2 linked regions of the Caenorhabditis elegans genome follow. The protein of the gene in region 1 purifies or fractionates together with the protein of each later gene. This does not show direct contact. Each region holds a gene or a part of one and is shown in the gene's direction. Other genes may lie near its edges.

Region 1 (8,920 bases):
TGATGCGAAAAATTTGAATTTTTGACAAAAAAAAATTTTTAGAAAAAAAAAATTTCTCGAAAATTTTTTTCAAATTCAAATTTATTTAAATCTAAACCGCAATTTTTTCCTGACTTCAAAAATATATTTTTCAAAAGATTTTACACGAAAAGAGCCGAGTTACAGGTGATTTTACGCGCACCAACGAGAGAGTGCGAGGGCGCAGAGAAAGCAGACACTCTGCCTGTCTTCGCCCTCCGCTCTCTCACCGGCGCTTGCAAAAATGGCTGTAACTCGGTGGGTTTTGAGTTTTGGGCTGTGAAAATTATATTTTTGGAATCAGGAGGAAATTTTGGATCAGAAAAGTGAAAAGTTTGAATTAAAAAACACTTTCAAAAAAATTTTTTTTTTTGAAATCGAAAAAAGTTTGTCGCAAGTTAAACAACAATACTGGAATAAACATTTTCTAACCGGAAAATCAACAATTTTCACAGAAAAAGTTCAAACAACACAACAAAATGCCCAGTCAACAAGCGAGAGGTGATAAGGACCTGACACTTGATATCTTCTCTGTTTCTCTGATTCTCTAGTGGTCTAATCAAAGAACAATAGTGGAAAAAGTGCAAAAAGTACAAAAAGTTTGAAGATTTGATGGAAAAATTTCCAAAAATTATACAAAACACACTTTTTTGAAAAATTTTCTCACAGAATTTATATTCATCAGAACCGCATTTTTCTCCTGAATTCAAAAATATACTTCTTAGGGGTCCTGTAGCGAAAACGTGCAAGTTACAGCGAGTTTTGTAGAGACCGGCAAGATAGGGTGGAGAGTGGAGAGCGCAGAGAAAGCAGATACCCTGCCTGTCTGCGATCTCTCCTCTCTCGCCGGCGCGCGTAAAAACCGCTGTAACTCGGTGGTTTTTGAGTTTTGAGAGTGAAAAGTTATATTTTTGGAATCAGGAGAAAATTTCGGTTTTAATGAATGTAATGTTTGAAAAACAAATTTTTTTTGAAAAGTATAAATTTCTGAAATTTGAAATATCCATTTTTAAATGGCAAAATCTTAACAACATTGTATATTTGATTTATTTGATTTGCTCAAGCCGTTCTGTCTGGACAAACATAACAGTTCGAAAATGGGAAATTTCACAGAAAAATGAGCAAAAACTACTGAAAAATATTAGGGAAATCCCGAAAAACGTGCTAAAAACGGAAAAATTTTCAAATAATTCCTCGAAAATGTGCGTTTGGAAACAGATGGTACGCATCACCCGGCTGGACATTGTTTCTCACTCTCTGCGTCTCTCTGTCTCTCTTTCAAAAGAACGAGAGAGTGTGATAATCTAGAAGAGACGCAGGGAAGAGGTCACACTATATTGTATATACACTCATTGAGAAAGAGAAGAAACAAACATCGGAGTGCAATGTTCCTCCTCCTCCTCCCCCCACCGCCTTCCCGCATGGGAGGGCGATGTAGGACACCAAACATCAGGAGGGGGTAGAGAAATTTAATGAGTCGGTCAGAAAAAAAATTGTGGGGGAACCGGGGTTCGAAACATGGAGTGCTGGGTGAAAGGCATCTGTGTTCCCAATTGAGCCACCGGTTCAGCCCCAGAAAAGTTTTGTTTTTGGGGTCCGGTCAATGCAGAATTTTACGCTCTTCATTGTTTCAGTTGACGATTTTTTCAAATCTTGAATCTTGGAGGAGATAGAGCCGATTTAAAATTTACAGAGACAAACGCCGTAGTTTATTCCGAGATTTTTTTGGAAATTTTTTATGCAATCACTAGAAAATAATACGCTGAATATTTCCGTAGTTGAAAATTTTTCAAAATCATTCATCAGTAAAAAGTTATAGACAAATTAAACTTTTTCGATTCAAATTTTCCCATTTCGCGGCGTTTTTCCCAATGGTGGCCTAGAAAACCCCGAGGGTCGAGTCGCTCCATTGCACTCGGCCACCACTATTTAATTAATTAATTTCGGGCTCTTTTTCGTCGTTTTCGCTCGATTTTCGTGATTTTTTCGTGATTTTTTCGTGATAAAATGTTGAAAAATACGGAGAAAATTGAATTTGCGATCTGAAAATACCCAAAATCAGGAGAAATTACCAAAATATTAAGTTTTTCTGGCGGAAATTCAATTTTTCTAAGTAAAAAATCTTTTTAAGCTTTCTCCATCTTTTTATAATATTTTTTAGACGACAAAAGTTGAAAAATTGCATTAATTTTATATTTTCAGGTGAAAAGCTAAACAAAATCCCCCAAAAACCAGGAAAATCGATGATCACAGCCAAACTGTCGATTTTCACCAATTTTTCCCGATTTTAAGCTAAAATGGGTAAGAAAAAGCTGAAAAAAACAACAAAAAAACGTTTAAAAATTCAGGCGCCGGCTTGGTTTCCGCATGCCTGCCGATTTCCTACGTCTTGCTGGTCCATTTGTTCGATAGAAATGGAACCGACCGAAATGACCCGGAAAGTGTGAAGAGGAGGTGCGGAATTGAAGAAAATAGTGCGGAAAAACGGAAAATTTGACGTGGAAAACCTAGGAATATCGGATTTTTTGAAAAAAAAAAAGATTTTTAAATTTTTTTTTTGAAAAAAAAAAAAAAATTTAATTCCAAAAAAAAATTATTTTTTTCAGATTCAAAGGAGCCCTGTTGAGCAATTTTGTCTCCATTGTGGTCACCGCATTCTACCTACGAGATGTATGATTTTTTGGCGAAAAAATTGGAATTTTGCCTCAAAAAGTGCAAAAACTATGAATTTCCTCAAATTTTTCCCCCGAAAAAGCGTAAAATTGTCAATTTTCCACTGAAAAAATCAATTTTCCCGCCAAAAACCGCCCAAATTTCGCCATTTTTCCAGTATACCGACTCTCCAATGCTAGAAATGGGAGTTCGATGGGATAACATAGGACAATCGATCACATATCCATTCATTTTAATGAATGCATTCTATTTAGGACAATTCGTTATGATGCAAATCGATCGGACACTTTGGCACTATTTTGGTACGGGAAAACGCGAGGAAAATCGTGCGAAAAATGAACAAAATCGATGAAAAATTAGATAAAAACGTTGAAAATTCGAAATTTTTGGTCATAAAATGGGAAAAACGTCAGAAATATAGCATTGTTCCGTTGAAAGTTAGTTAAAAATCAGAAAATAAGCTTAAAATCAGATTTTGGGGCCAAAAATCGTGAAAAAAAACACTGAAAATTTAATTTTCCGGCAAAAACTTTGAAAAAAATGCAAAAAATCGATGCTAATTAGTTTAAACAGTCGAAAATTTGTCTTAAAATTTGCAAAAAGCACGAAAACTCAAAAAAAATAGTCAAAAAAAAAGCTCAGAAAATGCAATTTTTCACTTGAAATCTAGAATTTTGCCTATTTCAACACAAAATTTCAAAAAAAAATTGAAAAAATCGATTTTTTTTTTCTTGAAAAATGCACAAAAATTTGATTTTTCAATTTAAAAATTATTAAAAATTCAGAAAAATGCACATTTTCGGACTTTTGCGCTTCAAATTGTTATACAAGTCTGAAAAATTGAGTTTTTCTGTTGAAAATGATTTTAAGTCAGAAAACTGTGAAAAAAACAGTTAAAAATCTGGATTTTCCGGCAAAAATAAAATCGAAAAAAAAGTGAAAAATCGATAAAATAATGAGCTTGAAAAGTCGAAAAATTGTCTTAAAATTGACAAAAGCACCAAAACTTAATTTTAGTCTGAGTTTTCTTGAAAATTCATAGAAAATAGTCAAAAAAAGCTCAAAAAATGCATTTTTTTAAAATAGAATTCCTTAAAAACTGATTCTAAAATGGAAATTCTTCAAAATCGGAAAATTCGATGAAAAATCAGCTAAAAAGTGCATTTTTTCGTTTGAAAAATACGCAAATCGGATTTTTCAGTTAAAAATTAAAAAAAAACGGAAAAATTGCTTTAAAAAAATCAATTTTCGCAGCTAAACCTTTGAAAAAAACAGTTTTTACACTAAAATCCACAAAAAATTGGCAAAATCCCAGAAAAATGCATTTTTGTGGTTTTCATATGAAAATTGTGAAAAAAAATGGGAAAATCGAGAAAAATTAGATAAAAGAGTAATTTTTTTTTGAAAAATGCACAAAAATTAGATTTTTCAACTGAAAAATTGCTAAAAACGTTTGAAATTTGGGTTTTTAGGCTCAAAATGTGAAAAATGGCTCAAAAAATCGAATTTTCGCAGCTAAAACTTAAAAAAAAACCGAATTTTAATGTAAAAAATCAGTTTTTGAACTAAAATTCCCGAGAAAATTGGCAAAAAATTCCAGATTGGTACGAGTGGAAGCTATGTTTCAATAGTTGGGTATGGCGACGGGATATTATTGTGGTAAGAGCATTAAAATGTTGAAAATCTGAAAATTGCAGTGGAAAACCTGGAAAAATGAGGATTTTAGACAGATTTACCTGGGAAAATTCGAAATTTCAGCGATTTTTCTTCAAAATTCACCAATTTTTTCACTGAAAAATTGCCATTTTTGGACTAAAAATTCCCCAAAAAAACTCAAAATTGATGAAAAATTAGTGAAATTTCCGATTTTTCGCAATAAAAATCCCTAAAAAATCATCAATTTCCTCCTCCATTTTCAGGGTCCAATAACCGAAGAAATCGTATTTCGAGCGTGCTCCTCAACTCTTATGGCGCACGTCTATGGTCCAACAATGACAATTTTATTAAATCCAATTCCATTTGCGGCTTCACATTTTCATCACATTTGGGATGATCAACGACGTGGATATTCTCTAGCACATTCTATACTTCAACGGGGTAAAAAATTGGCCGAAAATTGAAACAAAAAACACGAAAATTGCGAAAATTCGGCTGAAAATGGCTGAAAATTAGCCCTGAAACGCGAAAAACTGAAGAAAATCGGTTAAAAATGATCGAAAAATCATGAAAATTTCAAAAATTTGGCTAAAAATCTAGGAAATTGCCAACAAAACTAGAAAATAGCTGAAAATCCAGGAAATTCGTATAATCTTACCCGAAAACTTGAAAATTTCTTGAAATTTTATGGAAAAAGTAAAAAATATCGATTTTCCGACTCAAAATTCGAATTCCACGTGAAAAATCACCCCTATTTTGGATTTTGAGAATTTTTAGTGCAAAATCCCGTCAAATCCGATGCCGAGTACGCAAACACCACGCTACAGTAACCCAAAACACCGGATTTTACGGCATTTTGCACTGAATTCATGAAAATTGAGGATTTAGTGTGATTTGCTATTGGGAATTCAAAATTTTCACGTTTTGTAGCTAAAATTCCAGATTTCTGGCAAAATTTTTAGATTTTTGAAAAAATTGGTCCAAACTTGAAAAATTTTGAAAAATCTGTATTTTCAGAATTTTCGTGCAAAATGTCGTCAAATATGATGTCTTGGGTTACTGTAGCCTGTGTTTGCGTACCCGGCACTTGATTTGACGCAATTTTAGCAGTTTGCTGATTTGCCGGAAATTTTCAATTCCGGCAAATTGCAGATTTGCCGGAAATTTTCAATTCCGCCAATTTGCTGATTTGCCGGAAATTTTCAATTCCGCCAATTTGCTGATTTGCCGGAAATTTTCAATTCCGGCAATTTGCTGATTAGCCGATTTGCCGGAAATTTGAATTTCGGCAATTTTGCCAACTTGCCGGAAATTTTCAATTCCGCCAATTTGCCGGTTTGCCGAAAAATTTTCAATTCCGGTAATTGGCCTATTTGCCGGAATTTTCAATTGCTGTAATTTGCCGACTTGCCGCAAGTTTTTTTGTTCCGACAATTTGCCGCTTTGCCGGAAATGTTTAGTTCCTGCAATTTGCTGATTTGCCGTTAAAATTGCAAAAAAACCGAATTTAAATTCAAATTCCACAATTCACTGCAACTTTTCCCTCACGAGGGACGAGGAAAAGTGGTTTCTAGGCCATGGCCGAGGGGCCGACAAGTTTCAGCGGCCATTTATCTTGCTTTGTTTTCCGCCTGTTTTCTTTCGTTTTTCACTGATTTTTTTTCGTTTTTTCTTGATAAAACTGATAAATAAATATTTTTTGCAGATGCTAAAACAATTTCCGAGTAAAAAATTGTGAATTCAGTCGGCAAGTAGCGGTGAAAGTGGGCAATGTAAAATGATGGATTGCGGGAATACAAAACCTAAACTTTTTCTGAAACATGATACATATGCTGCTTAGATGTTGAAACTACCTGATTTTCATATCAAGACCGCTGAAAAAGTTTTGAGGTTTCCAAAATTCAACTTTTTGTGAAAATCTCGACTTTTTCACCAAAAAAGTTGAATTTTGAAAATCTCAAAATTTTTTCAGCGGTCTCGTTATGAAAATCAGGTAGTCTCAGCATTTAAGCAGCATATGTATCATGTTTCAGAAAAAGTTCAGGTTTTGTATTCCCGTAATCCATCATTTTACATTGACCACTTTCACCGCTGCTTGCCCACTGAATACATAATTTTTTTACTTGGAAATTGTTTTAGCATCTGCAAAAAATATTTATTTATCAGTTTTATTAAGAAAAAACGAAAAAAATCAGTGAAAAACGAAAGAAAACAGGCGGAAAATAAAGCAAGATAAATGGCCGATGAAACTTGTCGGCCCCTCGGCCATGGCCTAGAAACTATTTTTCCTCGTCCCTCGTGAGGAAAAAGTTGCAAAATTGCAATTTTCCAAATTTTAGTGCAAAATGTCGTCAAATCTGATGCCCTGGGTTACTGTAGCCCGGTGTTTGCGTACCCGGCTCCTGATTTGACGAATTTTTGCACGAAAATTCTGAAAAACGCCGTTTTTGTGTAATTTCATGCTGGAAATTCGAATATTCATTCAAAATTTTCCAAATTTTCACCAAAATTCATCAAAATCTCTTCAGGTTTCCAATTCTGCTACACATATCTGTTTGGAGCATTCGCCACGTGGCTCCAACTGACAACACGTCACGCAATTGTGCCAATAATCGCCCACGCATTTTGTAATGCTCAAGGTCTGCCGCTTTGGCTCGAAATTCGTAAGTTTTAAGCGAAAAAAGTGAAAAATTTGAGAAATTTTGGTTAAAAAGAGAAAATTTTTAGATTTTCGTTGAAAAAAGTGTGTAATAATTCAAAAATTTCAGTTTCTTGAATTTTTCAATTCCGGCAATTTGCCGATTTGCCAGGAATTTCCAATTCCGGTTGTTTGTCGGAATTTTCAATTCCGTCAATTTGCCGGTTTGCCGGAACTTTTCAATTCCGGCATTTTGCCAATTTGCCGGAAATTTCCAATTCCGGAAATTTGCCGGTTTGCCGGAAATTTTCAATTCCGTCAATTTGCCGGTTTGCCGGAACTTTTCAATTCCGGCAATTTGCCGATTTTCCAGGAATTTACAATTCCGGCAAATTGCTGACTTGCCGGAAATTTTCAATACTGGCAATTTGCCGGTTTGCCAGGAATTTTCAATTCCGGCAATTTTGCCAATTTGCCGGAACTTTTCAATACTGGCAATTTGCCGATTTGCCAGGAATTTTCAATTCCGGCATTTTGCCAATTTGCCGGAAATTTTCAATTCCGGCAATTTGCCGATTTGCCAGGAATTTCCAATTCCGGCAAATTGCTGACTTGCCGGAAATTTTCAATACTGGCAATTTGCCGATGTGCCAGGAATTTTCAATTCCGGCAAATGGGCAAACCGGCAAGTTGCCGGAACTGAAAATTTCCGGCACATTGCCGGAATTGACATCTTCTAAAAAATCTCGAAAAATTTGAATTTTCAAATTATTAATTTCAATTTTATTTGCGAAAATCTGGAAAAAACACATTTTTTCAGATTTTTTCAAAATTTCAAATTTTTTTTGTTCTAAAAATTTAATTTTCAACCAATTTTTTTCCAGCCAACTACCCGAAACGAAGAGATCGTCTGACGCTCTACGCTGCCTATTCTGTCGGTTTTGCCGCCTTCGTTCACCTATTATATACTCGAAATGGAATGCCAACTCCCTAAATTTTTTTGTTGGAAAATTGAGATTTTTCAATTTTTTTTCAGTCGAAATCCCCATATTTATTACGTTTTCGCCCTCTTTTTTGCCCAAAAAAATCCATGATTACCGAGTCAATTTCTTACATTTCATCCGATTTTTTCTCTATTTTTTCCCAACCCAAATCGATCTTTCAGCTTTGTAATTGTATTTTTTCTGCTTTTTTTTTTTATTTTTAATAATTTATAAAAATTATTTTCAGTATTTTAAGCCGAAAAGTTCGGAAAACCACATTAAAATTCGAATTCGCCATATCAAATAACCCCTACACCCGTGGTGTCAGAATGTCCCATTTCGTTGTGATCTACAAAAAATGCGGGAATTTAGACGCAGACTTCTCAACTGATTTTGCATGGTTAAAAACGTGCTGACGTCACATTTTTTGGGGAAATCATTCCCGCCGCGTTTTTCGTAGATCAAACCGTTGTGGACCAACCTGACACCCCGTGTAGGGGCGCCTAATTGTAAAGGAAAAAAATGAGACACGGTGTTTGCAGACGAGGCGCCTCGAGGCGACGCGCATCTGCGTACAAGGCATTTTAATTGACGCGCAAAACATTAAATATTGAGCGGCATCGATCAAACGGCGCTGTTAAAAGGTTTTTAGTATTTTATTCATTATTAATCAATAAAAAAACTATTTTTTATGATAGAAAAGTGTTAAAAATTGATTTAAAAATTGACAGATTCCAGACCTACCACAAACATTTCTTTTTGATCTACTCCTTTTTTTCGTCCCTCTCTCTCATTCTACGCGCCATTTTTTGCGCAAAGTGAGGAATTGTTTCGCATTTTTAGTCATTTTTTCCAAGGGGTGACTTGGAGTACGGCTGTTTTTTTTTCACAGCATATGCATTTTTCGAAAAGACGCAAGTTTTTCTGAGAAGCGAAAAGGTGTGCGCCTTTA
Region 2 (5,813 bases), on another chromosome or scaffold:
TGTTCTCCTAACTTTCTAATTTCAGGCAATTGACTACCGTGACAAAGACTACGTTCCAGTTCATCTCAGCTACATTTGTCCTGCCATTGTTCCAGTCGATGGAAAATTTTTTCTAGGTAAACTATAAAAGCACTGCGGAAATTTTTGTTTTTCTATTACAGTAATCTAGAATTACGTTGGTTAAAAGTAAAAATCTTTTGCTATCATAAGCCATGTAAGATGCTTTGACCAAAAAAATGTATGTATATGATAAAGTGAACATATGTTTAACTGAAGTAAGCTTGAAAGTGATTACTTTCGAATAGTTGTGTGTTTTTTCACTTTCTGTTGTTGAGCACCTACTGTTTTTTCTGCCAATGAGCATATGTCTTGTAGGACAGGTGAACATGAAGACCGAGTGTGCTACAGTGGCCCTGAACGGTTCGGTGACCCAATTGGATGGAGGACCCGTCAAATCGATCATGGTTCTTTGCAGAAAAGAAATGGCTGAGACGATGCTCATCTGATCGAGAATGAACAAAAGGTTTCTTCAATCCCATCTGTTTCACAATGTATCTCTCAATCTTGATTTTCGTTTGTCAAATGTTTCAAGGATAATTCAATAAAAAGAGTGAAACTTATTTTTATTTGTTTTGAAGTCATTGTTTTGTGATGCTGGTCTTTTTTGTTTCTTATAAACTTTTTGTTAATTTAGTTTTTCTCAATTTTTCATTTATTTCTTGAAAAGGTGTGCAGAGGGGATTGATCGAGTGACGACCGCGCCGCCGCCTCCTCCGAATGCGGCGGGGCAATGGTGGGGTGAGAGACATGATGAAGGGAGTGGGAAAAGAAGGAAACGCAGTAAGGAAAAGACATACACACACGGGGGCCACTTTCCGTCGTCTCTTCGTCCTTTTTCTTCTCTGTCTGGGTGTTCAAGAGATTGAGACCAATGACTCTATTTGATGAGCATAGTTTTACTGTTTTTTCGAATAATTTATTTTCAACTAAAAAATTATCTTTAATTTTTTTAAATTTAAATATTTGATTTAATGAACTTATTGGTGAATTTTGTAACAACTTCTTTATTTCGTTTCGTGATATAGTTAATTTTTTTCAAACATAAAATTTGAAATTTATATTTATTAGCACCTAGAAAGACACTTATTATTTCTTTTAAATTCAAAGTTTTTCGGATTGTTTTTTTTTCAAAAAAAAGAGAAAAAAGTGTAGGTAATCTGTCAAATGTGAGGCGCGAGTGTATCTTTCGTTTACGTATTTGAGAGATAACGTTGTCCTCATGGCTTGCCTCTTCTCTGTGTTATCTGTCTTTCGTTGATCGGTTTTCAGTCTTTTTCGTAATTTTTAAAAGTTTATTGATTGTCACTGAAGTTTTTCTGGGGAAAACATAAAACGTTTCTTTAATACCCCTCTTCCAAAAAATGCGCGTCAAGTGTGTTGCACAGTACGCAATCCTATTCAAAGATTACATGGGACAGTTTATTTTCATTTAGGGAACATATAATACCTGCATACCTACAATGATATCTTATTTTATTAAATGTAGTTTCAATTAGAATTTTTTAAAGCTAAATCTTTTATACTAATAAGTTGATTAAACGTTTTCACTTATGTAAGTTTATGTAAGTTAATTGGTACTTTTCCAAATGAATTGAGATGCTCTTTTCTTTTTTTTTCTGATCTATATTGTAAACTAAGTTTGATAATATGGACATCTTGTTTACAAAAGTTTTTGTGAAATGTCTTGAAATTGTTATCAATTCTGTAAAAAACGAAGTCCTTGCAATTTTTCAAAAGTTTTAGGTGTAACTATACTGAGTGACTTGCCGATTGACAGTATCAAATTTCAACTCCAAAGTTTAACTTCTTTTTTTCAAATTTTTTTTACACAAAAGAATAATCGTTAATAATGTTATTAAACATTTCAAAACCAACTTGAATATTTCCAAATGTGGACCTAGGTTTCTAACCACTACATTAATATTGATTGGTTTTGGCAATTGCATTGTAGACAACAAAACACAATTGTTTTTATGATTCCTATGTATTTCGGCCATTCTTGTTTCATTTTGTTAACTCGAATTGAGATAAAACCGTTTAATTTGTTACCGCCTGTCTATTATCGCCTGTCGTCTCCGTTCAAAATCGCTCGACAAATTAGTTCCGATTGCAGAAACATTGTGCTAAAGTGTCGTCGCAACAGAATCAACAATTGTACAGGGACGCTTCCAAGATACTGGCTGGAAGTGGACCAGCCCGTGACTCCACAGAGGACATGTCCTCCGCCAAGGTGCGCTGTTTTTTTTTGAAATATAATTCTCCAAATACATTTTTGGTATTTGCCAAAAATTTTTATGATTTGAAAGTTTAACTAAAAGTAAAAACTAATCCACCTTCTAAATTTTGTAGGATAGCGACAAGGATGCCTCACGCAAAATGAAGCTCCAGAAGCGTCCAGAGTGGAACAACGGTGGCAGCTTAGAAGACTGTATCTCAAATGTTTATGCACTACTTGAATTGCCAGGCATTAAATGGAAATGTTACCGCACAAAACCAAATGCTCCACGTGGTGTTGCACTGACTGCTGATTTTGTACTCAAAGCATACAGTAAATGTTTATTGGTAAGAACTTTATGAAAGCCATAAATTTAATTAAATCCAAATTTTAGGACGGAATTCTTTGCACATGGAGACGTAAACCATTACCCCCAACTGATAACAAAGAAACTCCAAAACTGACGAATTTTTCAAATGATGCTCCAAAAGAGCTCTGGGTATTTTGGTATGATGATGAGCCAGCATTGCTTCAGAAAAATTGTGAAGGATTGGGTAATTATTGTTTTTTCTATTAATTCATTCAACTTGTTTATTTTTCAGATAACGACGATGAATTATCATCAGCAAATCAAATGAATATTGTGAGCTACGAAGTACGCACAATTATCTTCAAAGCTTTGCACGTTGTTTTGGAAAGAGATCTTACAAAAGACGGATTCGTTCGATTTGGAAGATGGTTTACAGTTCCATATGATGCACGAGAAAATTATCTACATTTTACGTATCCATCACATTCTCCAGCAATTCGATTCAACTTTTTTGTTCATGGATCCAGCACGATATGTGCTTCTGTTCAAGCACAAAGGCAACCAACTTTGATAACTTTGGCTAGACGGTAATTTAGTTTTTAACATAGTTATTGAATAATTAAAATTTAATTTTCAGACATTTGGAGTGCAAAACAAAACGTGTTGTGGTTGTAGTAGGTCCATGGTCCATGCGCGGTCAACTTGTTCAAGACCAAATAGCTCTTCTTGCCGACCCAAAAATTCAAGAATCAGCAGAAAAAGAATGGAATCAATGGAAAGATTATTTGCAAATGGAAGAAAAAGAACCAGAAAATGTGTCAGAAGAAAGGCAAAAATCTCCAGATTCGGATCCACCAGCTCCACCACAAACAACTCGAGTGTTACTTGCAGATTCATCTGATGAAGAGCAATCACAGAGTTTTGAGGCAATTGATGAGTCAAAAAAAGACGATATTCCACAGAGATTACGATGGATGTACGAGCCTGATTACCGTCAAGAAAAATCAAAAGAAGAGACACCAGAAGAAAAAGAAAAAAGAGAACAATCAAGAGAAGTGAGGAAACAAAGAAGGAAATTAAGAGAAGAACGACGAAAAGAGGTTGAAAGGCAACGTACAGAAGTTAAAAATCCTGATGATTATGATTCGGATGTAGTGACAGATGAAGATGTTGGAGAGAAGGAAGAATGTGTGAATAATGATGTGCCGAAAATGGTTCTTCTTGATATTGACGGTGTTCGATTATTATACCCATCGAAATTCCTTTGTGTCACAATTGATGAGGATCGGCAAATGCTTGAGTCAATTGGTCTGAAGACAAATCAACAACCACCTGAATTACAAGGTAAGTAAACCACGATTTTTTAAAATTTTGAAAACATTACGAATTGCCAAGAAAATGTTGATTATTGAAAATTTCAATAAATGATAGGTTTTTCAACTATTAGTTGTATGCACTTCCAAATAATTTATTTTTAATTTTCCTAGTTCAACTGCAATTTATTCCAGCCCAAAATCGTCGCCCACGTAACAAACTTGTTGTCAACGTTGCGAATCCAATTCTATCTACAATGGCAGTCTACCAATACTGTGAAAATGAACGGTTAATTTCAAAAGAAAATGTTCCACAAAAAAGTGCCACTAGTGGGCAGCTCTTGCCCCCACTAAAAGAAAAATTCTTAAATTGGAAGTTTACTGCAAAAAAGTATGGATGCAGAGGAGATGTATCATGTCGACATTGTGCTGAAGCTGAATACCAAGGAGAATCCGATGGACGTATGTTTTTTTTTAAGAATCTCAAAGTTTTTATATTTTTTCAGAAGTTATACTAGACGTTGATCGTCACAATAGATTTCTAAAATATGGTCCATATACGGAAAATTCGATTAGATGGCACAAAATTCGGAGTCGAATTCAAAAGAAATTTGATTTTCATGCCTATCACAAGAAGCATCCAATTGGGCCAATTACACCTAGAAAGGCTGGAGACAGTGTGAAACAGACAAAACAACTGAGTGAGTTTTTTAAACAAATGATTTCACAAAATTACACTTAACACTGATTTGGCCATCCTAACTTTTTGAGAGCTTTCTGTTTTTTTACTTTTTTTTTTTGAAAACATAAACTTTAAGTAATCCTAAGCCATTGCAACTTTTTAATGGTTCAAAATTTTGAAGCACTGCTATTTTATATTTACTTATATTCTTTTGTTTTTCTAGGTGCGGTCAAACGAAGAAGGAGAGCTCGTCGAGAAAGAGCACAAAAGAAGAGGCGTGACAAAAAACGTCCAACTGGATCAACTCGAGCTGATAGCGAAGATGATTCATTTCGAATGGACAAACTTTCTCAGGATGATTGGGCTAATTTTGAGGGAGAGCACCCAAAGGGAATCCCTGAAATTGAAGTTGATAAGGATTTTGAGTAAGTTTCCAGAAGTTTATTTTTTTCAATTACATATTTTGTTCAGACTTCATAATGACATCAAAATTCCCAAAGTTCCAAATGATGACAACTACAAGCCAAAATCGTTTTTGCCAATTACATATCTCACCAACAATGTAGATAATAATGACTTTGAGTCAATGCCTGGAGATGATGATATGTCTGAAGAGCGTTTCAATCAGATATTCAAAGACAAGTATGTTATATTAATTTCTAATACTTCTAGAATTCGACACAAATTTTACAATTTCAGATACAATCGATGGAAGCCTGGAATGTCGAGAGCAGAAAAAATCGAGCACGCTCATTATCAATTTGATCCATCAAATCAAATGACCGGTTCACCACGAGAATACCATTTGAAGGATTTGCCAAAGAAGATTCAAAAATATGAATCAATACTTCCTACACCAAAAGGAAATAAGTTTTTCAAAGGAAGCATTTGTCGAAAAGGATTAAGAGGTTATGATGAAATTTGTGCGGATCAAGATGAAAAAGAAATGATGAGAAAAGCAAAATGGTTGAAGAAAGCAAGAAGGAAAGTTAGCAAACAACAGATAAAGAAGGCGGGGCAGTATCATATTGATATGCAGAAACAAATAGTCAAACGTTCATTGAAAAGAGCCATCAGGAAATTAAAACTAACTGTGAGTGTTTTTTCTGAAAAATTTATTTTGTTTCCAATCATATTCAATTGAAAGGTAGAGTATCGTCATTGTGGGATATTTCCTGAAATTCATACATTTATAATAATTCAAAATAATACAAATAAATTCCTTAAAAGTTT

Evidence for each region.
Region 2: the proteins of fce-2 (region 1) and let-19 fractionate together in Caenorhabditis elegans (co-fractionation; one large-scale study listed by BioGRID). This does not show direct contact.

The regions. Positions count from the first base shown.
Region 1 is NC_003283.11:20,423,081-20,432,000, forward strand, and holds fce-2 (CAAX prenyl protease 2), read left to right. Parts: upstream 1-2,220; 5' UTR 2,221-2,261; coding exon of another isoform or gene 2,262-2,309; 5' UTR 2,310-2,315; coding exon 2,316-2,319; intron 2,320-2,366; coding exon 2,367-2,472; intron 2,473-2,624; coding exon 2,625-2,688; intron 2,689-2,848; coding exon 2,849-2,993; intron 2,994-4,291; coding exon 4,292-4,350; intron 4,351-4,610; coding exon 4,611-4,788; intron 4,789-6,875; coding exon 6,876-7,010; intron 7,011-7,869; coding exon 7,870-7,979; 3' UTR 7,980-8,217; downstream 8,218-8,920. UniProt on the Caenorhabditis elegans protein: Protease involved in the processing of a variety of prenylated proteins containing the C-terminal CAAX motif, where C is a cysteine modified with an isoprenoid lipid, A is an aliphatic amino acid and X is any C-terminal amino acid.
Region 2 is NC_003280.10:8,768,802-8,774,614, forward strand, and holds the start of let-19 (Mediator of RNA polymerase II transcription subunit 13), read left to right. Parts: upstream 1-2,173; 5' UTR 2,174-2,275; coding exon 2,276-2,290; intron 2,291-2,409; coding exon 2,410-2,622; intron 2,623-2,669; coding exon 2,670-2,829; intron 2,830-2,877; coding exon 2,878-3,172; intron 3,173-3,222; coding exon 3,223-3,929; intron 3,930-4,093; coding exon 4,094-4,360; intron 4,361-4,404; coding exon 4,405-4,599; intron 4,600-4,803; coding exon 4,804-5,005; intron 5,006-5,051; coding exon 5,052-5,222; intron 5,223-5,279; coding exon 5,280-5,673; intron 5,674-5,813. Other genes in the region: nsph-1.1 (Nematode Specific Peptide family), read left to right, coding at 26-116, 376-506.